Nothobranchius furzeri: one gene and its partners. The protein of the gene in region 2 binds, or shares a complex with, the protein of the main gene of each other region. Links are inferred from orthologs where the notes say so. Each region holds a gene or a part of one and is shown on either strand. Other genes may lie near its edges.

Region 1 (4,853 bases), on a different chromosome or scaffold from region 2:
TTGAAAAAGAAAATGTGCAAATTTGCCATCACTTTTTCAAAAAATATTAAGTTTGGCTTGCAACTTCGTCCCAGATTTTCATTTTGGCCCAGTGTGAATTTGAGTTTGACACCCCGGACCTAAGAAAAAGAGTCAAGGAGTTGAACGTGTGGCAGGAGGAGAATTCTCATATACTCAACTCAAAGTGTCCCAGAAGTTAGAAAGGTTGAAATCTCCATCTGATTCATTTGACTCTCCATCTGCAGAGAAAATCAAAGGTTGTAATTACACTTTTAAACATGTGTTTTGTGATTATGTTGCTTCTATCTGGAAGCTGCTTTAGGTCAGACCAAATGTTTCATTGAGGTAAAAGTAAAAAGGTTATTTATTTACGTTGTATAACCCTAGCCCAAACAACAACAACAACAACAAAACACTTAAATGGAAATATATGAAATTATATACAGGATAACCTTCAGTTTGGTTTACTGCCAATACATTTCTGAGGAATGAGGTCTCTTACTACAGTCACTGGGAATGACACGTTACAGAATCCACTACATCAATTTCTCATAAGGATCATTCAGCTGGCCAACTTGCTTTTTTAAGCTACAGGTTTATTATATGTTTGGTTTTCGCAGAATTTGAGGGGCTTTTACGTAGCAACGAAACCTGTCTGGCTCAATAAGATAACGGTGGATGGCTAGATGACGCGTGACAATGTATCCCTGCTTGGCATTTGAAAAGTTACTTTCTCATTTTATTTGTCTTTAGTGGGCTGTTTAAAAGGCGACTGCACCGTTTTCCGTTTTAAGTTGTTTTAAATGCAGCCAACTATACACATTAAACAACAAAGACTGTTGCTAGCTTGGCACTAACACTGGCATACTGAGTTTTTTTAATGAGGTAAGAAATGTGTCTTAAATTTACCTCTGACTCGGTCTCTGATACACTGAATGGAGTTCAAAGCATTTCGTAAAGGTACGGACAAACTCCCGTTGATATTATCAGCACTCATGACGACGAAGTTTGAGGAAAAGCGTTAGCAATGCTGCGCTAACACGAGTGTTGTGGAACTACAGAAGCCCGGAACGTGGATCCGGGGAATATAATAAGCGAAACAATCAATCCCCCGGAAGCAGAAGAATAAAATGCGGTGAAATTGTTTACAGTGAAAACCACAGATACTGTATATATTCTTCCACTCCCTGAGCATATTTAATCTTCACTAAATATGAAACTACAACACTCTTCATACCTGGACTTGATTTTTCTGAAATGACAACATTAGGCTTAAATCCTTAGGCTTATATTTATGTCGATGATGCTTAAAACTAATGATTTTTTTTAATGTTTAAAAAGTGCGTTTTCAGCACAAAGATTGCATCTGAATTACATTGGAACATGTGTAGCTTAACAAGTACAACACTTAGATTCTTCAAATCTGGACTAGATTGTTCTATATTAATAGCAGAGTCCTTGAAATATAGTTGGTGGTTTGTGAAACCTAATGGGTGTATTTAATAAACCCATGCACATAAGAAACAGTGTTCATTACATTCATATAAAATGGCAAAAAGGTCATAAAACTTGGACTGTAGCCAATCAAAAAACTAAAATTGCCAATAGCCCCGCTTTAAATCCACAACAAAAAATCCAGTTTGGCCTATGGGAGAGCAGGGAAACCGCAGAAAGTCCCGTCCTTGTTTCCTGTTGAATTTTGTGACAAGTCTGTAGTTACCATCCAAAAAAGATTAAAAGACGAGGTTAAAGTTCATCTGTGAAATTGCTATTGTGAACTGTACGCAAATCAAAATAACGTAAAATTATAAAGTTGCTTAAACGTTTTCCATCAATAAATAGTTAGCACCGTTTTAAAATTATTTTGAAATTCACTACCGGAAGTTAGCTTTGTTTTGTAACTTAACTTGCGATGATCCATTTAATTGCAACCTGGGTCTAAAGTGACAGACAGTAAGTTTGAAACCACATATTTTCGCGTTTAGAGCACTAATTCTAAATAGTGTTCTCTTTTTTTAACGCTGGGGTTAGGTGGCTGAACTGCTTTGTTGATTTGGTCGCAGCCAACGTGTTGGTGTTGACGGAGGTCAGCAGGTCTTCGCCGAACCCAGCCTGCCGAGATGCTTTCCCCGGGAAGGACCGTGTCCTCCAGGCTTCTGAGGCCCGCCTCTTGGTTTCCTTTTCGGCTGGGCTGTGAGCGGTCCGTCGCCAGCTCCAAGCAGAAAGGTAACAGCATAACGGAACACACTGGCCTCTTCGTTTTCCTATGAGTATCTAGCATTAAGCTAATCCCAAAGTGACGCACTTTGCTGGGGTGACGAGAAACTTCACAACACCTACTGTGTGTTAAGTCCAGGTCAAATCAAGTAACGTGGAGCGTGTGTTGGGTTAGAGCTGGGACAGTGCATCCTCATCAATAAAGTATTTAATGACTTTAAAACTGAAGTAATATAAAATAATAACTAATAGTTTTGATTATTAATAACTGATATTATTGCTAGATTGATTGTAATCATATTCAGCCAAATGAAAGACAAAAAGCACAATGGGCAAAGCTGTTACAGAAACAATAGACTAGTTAACTTCAGATAACGCTCCGCTGTCCAGCACAGGAACAGAAAACATTTCAGATGAGCTGAGAAGTATCAAAGTCCAGAGTTTATAGTTTCCTTTTTAGAAAACATACACTACAATTTGGAAAACATAATTAATCTGGATAGATTATTATTAATCTAGACATTTCTTGCAGAAATGTTGTTTGACTCTGCCTACTTGGCTACTATGGAAACCATTCCTGTGAAGTTAGGCTCATCCAACTAAACAAAGCACCTTGATACCCTACTTGCGGCAATTGTTGAACAATTGTAGGTGTACGGCAAATACGTACAGAATAATCTTGAAAGAATAATGTGTACATTTGTGTTTTTTGCTGCAGAGTTGATCAAGAAACACGAGCTGGAGAAAGATGAGCTCCGGCCTCTTTACATGGACTTCCAGGCCACCACTCCCATGGTAACTGTAACTCGTGTGTTCTGCTGTGCGTCATAAAAGATAATGTTACTTATCATGTGACAACTATTTAATTTTGGGCTAAAATGATGGTTATTTGTGTGACTTTACCTTCATATAACCAATTTGTATTTGATTTGATCAGCATGTTTGAAGCTCATTTTTATGTGTACACACCCTTTTTATCACAATAAGTAACTTGTTTTGTAATTCAATAAATGAATGAACATCTGACTCAATACCCGAGAGAATGATTTGTTCTTTCTTTGCATTCCTGTTTCTTTATTCCTGTGTGTTCAGGACCCCCGGGTGCTTGATGCCATGTTGCCATACCAGGTGAATTACTATGGTAACCCTCACTCCAGAACACACGCCTATGGCTGGGAGAGCGAGACTGCCATGGAGAACGCCAGGAAGGTAGAGACACTGCAGGAGAAGTTGTCACATTATTAGTATTTAGGAATGGAGCAGAAGTTATTTCAGCATTCTTGTAACAATTAGAAAGATCCCAAATGCACATTGTGAGCATTTGGGATCTTTGTTTTCTTTCAGCAGTTAAATGTTATCCCTGTTCCTCTGAGCAGCAGGTTGCTGATCTGATCGGAGCTGATCCCAGAGAAATCATCTTCACCAGTGGAGCCACAGAGTCCAACAACATAGCCATTAAGGTGTGTTTTTTAACTTTTCTTCATTATCTAGCTACACACACCCCCTGCTGCCAGCGTCATCTCATTTTGTTTTGGGTAACAACAGAAATTTTCATTGTATTGAAAGTAGTTTATGTGGCTTTTAGAAGCTCAGGGTCCTTAACTCATTCACTGCCATTGACAACTAAAGTCATCATTTTAGATCCAACCGTTCACTGCCAATGACGACTAAAGTCGTCATTTGCAATTTTTTTTACTGTTTGAGCATCGGAAGGAGCCCCCGCGCTGAGAGAACAAACATCTCAGGCCTGAAGCCGATCTTCATCCGCATATGTCACACATCACATGATCAGGAAGCAACACATCCATGTGTTTGGAGATCGTTTTGGGCCATTCCTGTAAAAAAAAGTGAGGCGCAAACCAGAAAAGCGTCTCCCGATCACAATTCGACAATGGATTATGAAAGAACGGATAACGCTCGAAACATACGGCTTCTTCCTGATGTAAGAGGTGAGTCTCCTCTTTGTTTTGGTTGTTTTGGCATCGACATCATGCTAGCGCGCAACGTTCTGTGACTCTTAAAAAAACTGTAAAAACGGTGAGAAACGGTGAGAAACGCTGTCAGCGAAGGCCGTTAGTGATCAGGAAACGGCTGGCAGTGAATGAGTTAAGGAACCGTTCCCCAGTGTTTCCTCTGTTACAGTTTCAGCCAAACGGCTGCACACTTCGGTTTTTCATGAACAAAAAAAGAGCTATTATGAGTTATTTACAGAACAAAAGTAGGATTAGGAGTGGAAAATACTGTAAAAGCCTGTGAGGACGTTTTACAGACATCAGATGTAACTTTCTGTTGCTTCCTCCTCAAGGGCGTGGCTAGATTCTACAAGTCCAAGAAGCACCACGTGATCACCACACAGACGGAGCATAAATGTGTCCTGGACTCATGCCGAGTCCTGGAGGCCGAAGGATTCAGCGTTACCTACCTGCCAGTCCAGACGAACGGACTGCTGGACCTGGAGGTACAGAACTGCGTACGACTGCGCATTGATGTGTAACATTGTAGATGTCACTGTGTCTGTTTTCCAGCTTCTAGAAGCCTCCATCCGCCCTGACACCTCTTTGGTGTCGGTGATGACGGTCAACAACGAGATTGGAGTCAAGCAACCCATCAAAGACATAAGTAACCATGGCAACACT
Region 2 (4,788 bases):
TTCCAGGAAGGTTGTCTTATGACGTTTCACGATATTTCGTGTTTTTATCGCATTTTAGGTGAATCGAAGTGGTTGTAGGACTCACCTAAAACGTTCTAGGTGGTTTTATTTTGCTTTCTGTGGCTAAAAGCCCCCCTGGCTGAAAATCTCTCTACTCACCTTAGATGATCATGTTGGTGTAAAACTGAAACCTAAATAACATTTCTTTAGAGACTTACATGGTGTGCATGGTGCAGCGTTGTGGAGCTGCAGAAGCCAGCCACACAGGTGTTTGCTGTTCTCTAGATTACAGCTGGGCAGGTACAAAGAGCTGCTCGGTCTGTGTCAAACACACCTACAAGCCACCGAGTTTATGTCCAACAAACTAATCCTAATCCGTGGCAATCAACTAGAAATCCCACTCATTAAAAATGAAAGTGAATGAAGGCAATCTGCTTAAAACCATTTTCAATGAAATATTTAATTGTACAACTTGAAATATTTGCAATTATACGAGAAAATTCACTTCCATTTGTGCATGTTGGACAAATAGACTTGAGTCAAAGGTAGACTACTCTGTTGATGGAGAACACACACTTCCGGCTCTGGATCAGGCCACAGCTGAATGGGGCACCAGAACGTTCTGAAATGTTTCGAATGAACAGACTTCATCCCTTTGTTCAGTTTTGTGGTTAATCCACCTTTAAGCATCAGTTACTTTATTGTAGATTATGGCTTTTCGGTCCGACTAAAGAAGGAAAGCTTTTCTGAAATTTGACTTTTAGGACTAATTCAACAAAACACTGAAACATCTACAGATGAATATGGTACATAAAAGTGAACAATATGCATATGCGACATAAATCAGGACAATAATGGTCATGAGGATTATTCTGGGATTCTTGTGCGTATAAAAGCTGTAACAAGGAATGTTCCGTTCAGAGATAATCTCGATCCGACTGATGTTTCAGGTCTCTGAGACTGAAGCCTGAGAGCTCCTCACATAAATAAATACATCATCAGTTTCTCTTTGCATGTAACCATGGAGACCAACTCCAGTGGGACTAGTGTAGTTTGAGGACTTGGCCTGTTCTCTGCTGCAGGTCTGTGCTGACGTCAGTGACACTTCCTGGGAGTTGCTGCTCACATTATTATCCTAGTTGTAAATCTTTGCAGTCATCCCACCTCTCAGCAAAAGCCTCACATCTTTAGATACAACCCCCCTCCCCTTTATCATCTGTGGCTCCATTCAGTGAGGTTTGGGGACATGGCCGTCCACGTAGAAGTTCCTGGTGACTTTTGGCAGGGTGAGCTCTATCCCATCGAGGTCTGGAGTGAGAACGATCTGACATGCGAGTCGGGAGTTCTCCTGCAGCATGGGCGCCATGTCGAGCATGTCGTCCTCTCTGGGAACGGAGACACCAGTCATTGTTTCCTGTGTAGTCACCGTCACAAAGCCTCAGTTTGCCCCTACCTTTCTTCTGGTTCTGGCAGTTTGTCGAAATGAGCTGCGCTCACGTAGACGTGGCACGTTGAGCAGGCCAGCGACGCCTCACAGGCTCCTAAAACAAAAAAAAACATGTAAAATATCAGCAAATATCTGAGCAGCTGGTTTAATCCAGATTTTAAACCCTTACCTTCTAGTTCAATTCCATGTTTGTGGGCCAGAAACAAGACGTTATCTCCCGTTTTGCCTTTAACGGGGATCCTCTTGCCAGACCGGTCTATGAACACCACATTAACTCTAAGAGGGAGGGAAGAAAAGTCCTTTTTATCGAAAATTAAATATGTTAAAAATATAAAATACAGTGATCCCTCGCTACTTCGCGGTTCGTCTATCGCGGATTCACGACTTCGCGGATTTTTTCTTTGGAGCCTTATTCAAGGGAAATTCGCCGATTCGCGGTATTTTTCTATGCGAAATATCAAGAAATTCCTGTTTTTTTCATCAATTTCATCATAAAATGCACTTTTTGTAATAAAACTATAAAAAAAGCAAGTAAATAATTTTTTTTCTTGAGTTTTACCCACAAAAAGAGAACGTGATCATACGATAATTCAATATAGTACTGTACTGTAAATATGGTGTCCCTACTTCGCGGATTTTCACCTATCGCGGCCAGATCTGGAACGCATCTACCGCGATAAACGAGGGATCACTGTACCATTAATACTACAGTGGCACACAAATGAGAGGCTTTGGTTAGGGCGAAAGGAGGATTACACGGACTTTGTACAAATATTAAGTGGAATTGTATCCCACACAGCCAGACAAGCTCCAACTCTCCAGATGTTGGTAGGTGGCTGAAAACTCATTTCTACTAATTAGCTTTTGATTCTTATATGTAACGAAATCTCTTTGACACTTGTGGGATTCATCTATAGCTCACTGTAGATTCTAAAATTACTTTAATTGTTGTGTACAACACTTAGGCCAACTGTGATGGTTCGGAGAAAGTGCTTTATGGATAAAGATGATGAACTCTTTACTCGTGGAAATAGGAAATTTCCTCTTATTTGAAAAAATGCAAATAAAAATGATCAAATCAATTCTTTAAAATGTGAGATTAAAACTTTGATTATAAGCTGAATGCTTTGATTATAACCGTATTAAACAAGTCATTATAATTAACTTAATGTCATTTCCTTTTATAAATGTAGACTGCAGACCGGCCAATGAACTATTTTAACTATTAGCATCTGATATTTTCATTTTTATGTCCACAAACTAAAGCTGTTAATGTTAACGATCCACTAAGTTTTTCTCTTGCAATCATACAAATGTTTCTAGAAAAACAGCGGAAATACGTTTATTTTGTAGGTTCAACTTTACGGTGCACGTGCACATATTGACTTCCTGTTAGCTGCGCCTGGTCTAGAGCAGCAGCTCTGGCTACATTTCACAATAAAAGCTCTGGCAGACTCACACATCATCTGGGTCTTCTGAGTTGGAGCTACCCTCCTGGGCCTGGGAAAGACCTTTAGAAAAAGAAAATCAATGTTTTCGTTTAATAGCATCAAACCCACCAGAGGAAAAGAATAAACGAGTTGCAGAAGTTTAGAATGTTTAAAGTTACACGTGTTAAGAGTTTTCATAGTGACGTTTCTTAGGCAAATAAAACATTTCAGGCAGGGTTAACACCTAAAACGCATTCAAAGAAATGAGGTGATTCGCGACTACGTAATGATTGTGTCGTAAGAACACTTCGAAAGGACGAATGAACCTCTAATGCTAACTGTTAGCAAACAAAATCACTTACATTTACTCGTCTGCAGATGCCGATTCATCGTCCGAAAGCTATTAAATGAGCTTCTTCTTTGGGGGTTAGCTCTGTTGCTGGTACAGCTCTTTAGTCTGTACAGGGGGCATTTGCTACAGTCCGGAATTACTCGATGAAACCTCAAAGTTAAACCAATGCTCGTCCGGGCAGCTGCAGACGCCGCCATGACTCTGTTTTGATCACATGATTGAAAGTAGCCAATAGAAAAAAAGCTGTGGCAGAACGAGGCTTCAGTTGTTGTGTACTTTCTCTGACAGCAGAGGGCGCCAGTGAAAAACAATCCAAGACGTCTACCTTTTGGATCCGGTCAGGGGTCAGGTGGGGACATTAAATTTCAGGTCATAAGAATGTGTTCCCTCATTTGTTTTTATGGAAATGTGATAAAATTGAAAAATGACCGGTGAAACGCATGTAAACATAATTTATGTCACACTTCATATTATATTTGGAACAATGGGAATATTTTTACTTAATTGGGCAGAAAATAATTAAATAAGACATGATGCTTCACAGCAGCACTTTTACTGAGAAAGTAAAAGAAATGTTCTTGTGTTTTTGTTGAATTTTCGACATGAGAAACAAAACTTATGCTGGACAAATTTCGCCCTTTTTGAGAATGTAGTAGTGTTACACGAGACCTCCTTTTAAAAACCCGTTATGTATTTTTATCTGTGGGTGATTTTTTCAACGAATAACTACTTTGGATCTAAACAACCTAAAAGCGGCGTATATCGGTGCTGTCTGATGAGTTAAGGCAATTTAAAAAAAAATAAAAGTAAATTAAAAAAAACAACCGTTAACTTTAGTTCATCGATATTTGCCTAAATCATATTACTTTAAGTCTTTACATTTCTATATTAACAACATCATGACAAAAGTGATTTTGAAAGAGTCAAATGTGATTTTAAACTCAGTTTAGTTTGGTCTGTTCAAAGAAACATTTGTACGAATGTCTTCATTTACACCATTAAAACTCGCCTGCCTAAAGAGACAAACCTGTTCAGGTGCTTCTAATTGTCTGATCATGACCAACAACCTGACCTTTAACCTGTTAACCTTTCACCAATCCTTTGAAAAGTATCTTAATTCCTGTGAGATATCTGATTAGACAGATGCAAGGGTGTTTATGGTTCCACCTGCATGCAAAGAGGGTGAGAAGTATCACTAAATACTGTAAAGCAGCTGATATGCTTGTATTTAAAACACATGGACATAAACTAGCTAAACATGCAGTACAAAAATAAGTACAGGTGTACATATTTCATGTTGCATTTGAACAGAGACGCATCATGGTGGTGGTCGGTGGGCGGTAGCCTCGCCTCTGTGTCCTGAAGCAGCTGTGGCTACAGTTTTCACCATCGGTGTGTGAGTGATTGGATTGCAAAGCACTTTGGAGTTTTTGACTTAGAAAAGCGTTTTTCAAATCTGCAATATTATTTTTAATACATTAATTGTCCACCATATCCCAAATAAAACTTGTTTTCTTTACAAAACTCATTAAAACTTTCACTCTTTGCTTTACTGAACT
Region 3 (5,137 bases), on a different chromosome or scaffold from region 2:
ACAAAACTGGAGCTGTGGTACATCGTTTCAATAGTTTTTATCTCTATGCTCTCAAGAACATATTTAAATACAGTGAAACACAGGACGCAGCAGGCGACGCAGAACTCGCCACAGCGGACAGGTTTGAAGTGGGAAATGGTTCGATGCCAATCTGCTTCACAAAAAACTTCCTGTGTGAGGCCTCCCTCTGTCAAAGAGAGGGACAAATAACTCTTAAAAGAGACACTGATACAATTAGAGACAGGGCCAGGAATGCCCGTGTGACATACCTGCCTCCGAGCTACAGAAGAGATTATTCATAAACATCTTTTTTGTCTGCGATGTACTGTACAATCTCCTCTGGAGTCATCAGCTTCTCTGCCTCTGCGTCTGGGATCTCAAATCCTGCAGCAGGAACCAAAAACATTCACGTCCCAGAAGGAAAAAAAAGAGCTGAAGCTACACGAGTTTGAGTTCATCCCGAATAGGAATAAACGTGAAGGCAGAGGTCTGTGTGTTGCTCTCACCAAACTCATCTTCCATGGCCATTATGATCTCCACCTGGTCCAAGCTGTCTAAGCCCAAATCCTTCATGAAGTGGGAGGATGTCTGCAGCTGTGGGGCAAATACAACTAATCAGATTTAGTTTCATTAGCCCTGGGAATCAGTTTTCTTTTGAAGTTGGCAGAAAAACCTTGTCTGGGTGAATGTTTACACTAAAACTAGTGTAAATGTGAAAATATATACAAAATTAGAGTTTGGGAGAACTAAATCTTTCACATTTCACTGATTATTTTGGAAGAGATGGTTATATGCAGATCTGTGGGTATTCCAGAAAGGAGGATCAAAACAGTCTGGGTTTTTTAAAGCGAGGAAGTACTTGATAAATAACATTTTAAATGAGAAGTAATATATATATAAAATAAAAATCTTTAGGAACAGAGACTATTATGTATTGAGGTCATGAGAAGGGTAATTCTATAAGTTAAATGGTAAATGGTCTGTATTTGATATAGCGCCTTCTAGAGTCCTGGAACCCCCCAAGGCACTTTACAACACAACCAGTCATTCACCCATTCACACACACATTCACACACTGGTGGTGATGAGCTACGATGTAGCCACAGCTGCCCTGGGGCACACTGACAGAGGCTAGGCTGCCGAGCACTGGTGCCACCGGTCCCTCCGACCACCACCAGCAGGCAACGTGGATTAAGTGTCTTGCCCAAGGACACAACGACAGCGACAGACTGAGCGGGGCTCGAACCTGCAACCTTCTGATTACGGGCGAGCTTTTAACTCCTGTGCCAACTTAAACAATTTAAGTAAAATTGTTTCTAAAATAATGGACAGGATAGGTACTGTGTCTGTTACCATGGTGATAGACCCAGAAATCAACTTGCATCTCTTTCTGAAACAGAAGGCTGCGTTTCCCTAAACTTCGGACACACACACACACACACACACACACACACACACAACCTGCTTTCTGTAACACTTCTTACTCTTACCGTTTCTGGGTTGATTTTATCGTACAGCTTCAGTACATACATGACGCGGTCTTTGATGGTTTCTAGAGTGAGAGGGGGGAGGTCGCTATACTGTCGGCACAGCACACCCACCGAGAGGATCTAAATGAGGCATAAAGGGAAAGACAAAAAGGGAGAATGCGAAGCAAAAGAAAGCAAAATGGTCATGATCACTCAAACTGCACACCTAAATGTTTGTTATGCTGTAAAATGGAAATATGTTTTAAAAAAACTAAAAGTAAAGAGCAGATAATCCAGGGCAGGAAAATTGCGAACCACTTAAAGCAACACTAATTTTTCAACACTAGCTATTGCTTTTAAACTGGTTTCAGTGATTCTTCAGCAGCTTTCAATATAACAGCACTCTGTTGCCCTCTGCTGGTCAGAAACTTGAGGTTCAGGTAAGAGCACTAGTGAGAGGTCTACCTGCTTTACAGCTGTTACTATGCCAGTAGCCAATATAAAGGCTGACAGTTAGCTTTTTCTGTTCGCATAATACGAATAATTTTGCTTTTTTTGTTGCTGGCATTAAGGCAGAGCTTGGAAATAAAGGTAAGAGTGTTTGGAGGCGAAACCAAGAGCTAAAACCAGAGCGAACATCGATGCAGACTACACTCGTCTGAGTGCTACTGGACGTAAAAGTATCTTTAGTCCAAACGTGTGGATCTTTCTACTTTGTGCCTTCTTTACTATCAGTTGGCTTCAGTTGGCTCATGTTAGCTTGTTGTTAGCACTAGCTAAAGCAGGGTTGTTTACAACAGTTGTAACTCCTCTTTCAACCAGTAGAGGGAGAAGCGGGAAACTTTAACAGTTGCTTCAGTGGCATGATATTTATTGAATAAATGTCCAACAGTTGTCTAATATTTCTTGTGAATGTTAATATACAAAATACAGAATCATGTGACATCCTTAAAGTAGTCTTTATAATGTCCGCCTGTTTTATTTGAATCATTAATTAATTACTTGTTTCACTTACAGACCTGACTGTATGAATGTTTACAAGGGTTTCTTCCTCAAGTAGTAAGCATACTTTAAAAATACAAAAATCAGCTTGTGAAGAGGACAGATCCTATTCTCGTGTATGTTTAATTCACATATAGATGTTTTCAAACGTGATTTTATTTTAGTTCTGCGCATTAGCCGTTTTGGCTAAGGGGCTGAGCGTCCAGAGACAACGTGGCATTAGTTGGTAAGTAAATATATATTTTTTTATTTTAAATAAACGTAAAACCTGAGGACAGCTAGTTTAAGTTGCTCCAGAAAGCTGAAAAGTCAAGAAAAACAGCACAATGAACTTTGCTAACCAGCTAGCCTTTCCTGCTAACTAACTAGCTAAACAGTCAAACCTTGAGGTAGTGTCAGACAAATTAGGCGTCGCAATGTGTCGTAAAGTCGTGGCTAACTGTCTCATTACTATTATTTACACTAGTCCAGGTGGCTAGTCAGACGGCTCCGAGAACCTACAGCTGGGCCGGTTAGACTGTTGAAAGACATCAGTAGGTCACGGCCACCAGGCCAGGACTCTGCCAATGTTAGCGGGACTCACCGGGCTCCGAACGAACCACCGCGTTCTCTGGCGGTCGGCGGCCAAGGAGAGAGGTCGGTGGGTACTGACTGCCGGTATGACAGCGGCTCTGACTGCGAGGTTACCGGAGCAAAGCCTCAGCGAGGGCCGGGCACACGAGCGGACACACTGCAGCAGGACACGGGCTGCCATGTTGGAGTAGAAGCTGGAGGATCAGCGGCGTATAAGAACCGGAAAAATCGATGACAGTGGCGTCTCAGTGCGCATGTGTAGAACGTAAGTTTCCTTTAAAACATTTTACAGATTGTTGGTTCTTTTAAACTTCTAATTAACTAAAACACGCTTTCAGTTGCCCCCATACAGGATTGTCAGAAAGAAAAGCTATAAAAGCCCCGACAGCAAGGACTCGAATTAAGCAAGATCAATCGATCCCAGAAAGACTCGATGGAAGTCAACATTTGTAATACTCAACATTATAGCCTAACTAAATAATAATATTCAAACAAATGCACATTGACTGTTTTGTTTAGTTGACCAACTGTCAAAGACTGTCAGAGTTTATCTGATTCTTGGCAGTATGTCTCCCCAACATGGGACAATTACATATATTGATCAGGGTCTAATATCATTATTGGTTCATCTCAACTTCTCTATACTGAAAATGATTTTGATTTAAACCTTCTGTTTTAGACAACTGGCGAGTTTACTAGTTTATGACTGAGGACTATTAGTTTGGGAAGCCCTCTGAAATAAATGGTAAGCTGTTTTGCCCGTTTTATTTGCTATATTTACAGTCAATTACGTATCTTGCTTCTTTGGGGAAATAATCCAACCACAGCTCTACACTGGATAGTGACAAAGACTACTTAAGAATAGTTTTATTGAAATGTGGTTGTTTCTTAGTTTTGGTCCTTCCTTTACTTCTCTCACTGATGGTGTCCTAAGGTTCTGTGCAGGGAGCTCAATTGTTCTTCCTTTATCTGCTCCCTTCAACACAACCTGAGCTAAGAAAATCTCCTACCATCTTTACACGGATGACATTCAACTGTACATCTCCTTTAAAGATGTGTTCACTCGTTTAATCAACACATTTGCAGTGGTCTCTAGGAATTAATGCCTTGTAAATCTTATTCTGGGGGGGGGGGGGGGGGGAAGGCTCTGGCGCACCTGTTTCAGGAACTACAAGTGATCCACATCAGAGTTGCGCTTCAGATGGCAGGATTTGGAGTCTTATTTCCTGATATGTGGACATTTTGGCTTGGATTAGCTAATAGCAACGTGACTGTACAACTGACTCTGCTTGTTCAGCAACATTAATATTGTATTATATTCACAAATAACACAAGCCTGAATGAGTTCTGACATGTTGTGGAGTTGCTAATGCTAACGGTTAGCTTCTATTAGCCGAGACGTTTGCTGCTGTTTCGTGGACACTAAACCAACGGCACTCTTCCTTGTCATGAGTCAAGATGGGCGAGATGGGTGTGACATAGATCTGTCTGGCTTTTCAAATCCTAGAGGTTCTCTGTCAATTTTCAATCAGATCAAATCAGAGTAACCAGTTATAATCAGAAATAATAACTAAAAAATAGTTTTTCAGTGAACCACAGCTCCGATGAGATATCTAAGCTGCAGCGTTGCACACTTGAGAACTTTCAACAGCTGAATGCTTTCAATCAGGAGCAAGAACACAAAATTATTGTTAGTTTAAAATAAATTGAAAGCATACACAAAATGCACTGATAAAAAGAAAAGACTCCTTATAATTGTGGATGCAAATCACATGTATTTGTTCAAAGAGCAAGTCACCCCCCCCACCAGAGTATTACTCTGCTCCCACTTCCTATTTGAAAAATGCAACAAATGCTGTTGCCTAGCAAACTGAGAGGGCGGAGCCGCTAACAAATACACACACACACACATAGGCTCACAATGGCATTGTGACATCATATGGTACCAGCTAACATTCTAGGGTACCTCTTAGCCAATAGCAATGGCAGATTTAAATAAAACTGCAGTGCGGAGTTTTTACCTGACAATGGCACAACACTGACAGTTTTAGGCAGAAATTTTAAATTTTAACTAAAATGCACTAAAGTGCAAA

Evidence for each region.
Region 1: the proteins of fdx2 (region 2) and nfs1 are in contact, whole or in part, in a cryo-EM structure (PDB 8RMC), measured with the Homo sapiens proteins. The link is inferred for Nothobranchius furzeri from reciprocal best matches to the Homo sapiens genes FDX2 and NFS1. Residues at the interface, in NP_001384335.1 of Homo sapiens: Ala104, Cys105, Glu106, Ala110, Cys111, Pro141, Leu142, Ile169, Thr170, Arg171, Asn172, Phe173, Tyr174, Val175, Asp176, His178, Lys181; in NP_066923.3 of Homo sapiens: Gln153, Lys157, Leu160, Asp161, Arg164, Ala168, Tyr175, Ala384, Ser385, Leu386, Glu387, Pro388, Tyr390, Arg393, Gln456, His457.
Region 3: fdx2 (region 2) and ndufab1b share a complex: the UniProt entries of both Homo sapiens proteins name them as parts of the mitochondrial core iron-sulfur cluster (ISC) complex. The link is inferred for Nothobranchius furzeri from reciprocal best matches to the Homo sapiens genes FDX2 and NDUFAB1.

What each region holds. Positions count from the first base shown.
Region 1 is NC_091743.1:73,306,064-73,310,916, forward strand, and holds the start of nfs1 (cysteine desulfurase), read left to right. Parts: upstream 1-1,407; 5' UTR 1,408-1,953; intron 1,954-2,031; 5' UTR 2,032-2,120; coding exon 2,121-2,226; intron 2,227-2,935; coding exon 2,936-3,012; intron 3,013-3,309; coding exon 3,310-3,426; intron 3,427-3,593; coding exon 3,594-3,677; intron 3,678-4,522; coding exon 4,523-4,675; intron 4,676-4,742; coding exon 4,743-4,836; intron 4,837-4,853. Other genes in the region: ccndbp1 (cyclin-D1-binding protein 1 homolog), read right to left, coding at 180-239, 910-997.
Region 2 is NC_091747.1:74,438,603-74,443,390, reverse strand, and holds fdx2 (ferredoxin-2, mitochondrial), read right to left. Parts: upstream 3,450-4,788; 5' UTR 3,427-3,449; coding exon 3,240-3,426; intron 2,959-3,239; coding exon 2,907-2,958; intron 1,724-2,906; coding exon 1,617-1,723; intron 1,542-1,616; coding exon 1,454-1,541; intron 1,386-1,453; coding exon 1,229-1,385; 3' UTR 441-1,228; downstream 1-440. Other genes in the region: zglp1 (GATA-type zinc finger protein 1), read right to left, coding at 219-229. UniProt on the Homo sapiens protein: Electron donor, of the core iron-sulfur cluster (ISC) assembly complex, that acts to reduce the persulfide into sulfide during [2Fe-2S] clusters assembly on the scaffolding protein ISCU.
Region 3 is NC_091752.1:63,552,600-63,557,736, forward strand, and holds the start of ndufab1b (NADH:ubiquinone oxidoreductase subunit AB1b), read right to left. Parts: upstream 3,274-5,137; 5' UTR 3,226-3,273; coding exon 3,055-3,225; intron 3,023-3,054; exon of another isoform or gene 2,938-3,022; intron 2,698-2,937; exon of another isoform or gene 2,636-2,697; intron 2,529-2,635; exon of another isoform or gene 2,482-2,528; intron 1,611-2,481; coding exon 1,491-1,610; intron 595-1,490; coding exon 507-594; intron 385-506; coding exon 293-384; 3' UTR 270-292; intron 188-269; 3' UTR 1-187. UniProt on the Homo sapiens protein: Carrier of the growing fatty acid chain in fatty acid biosynthesis.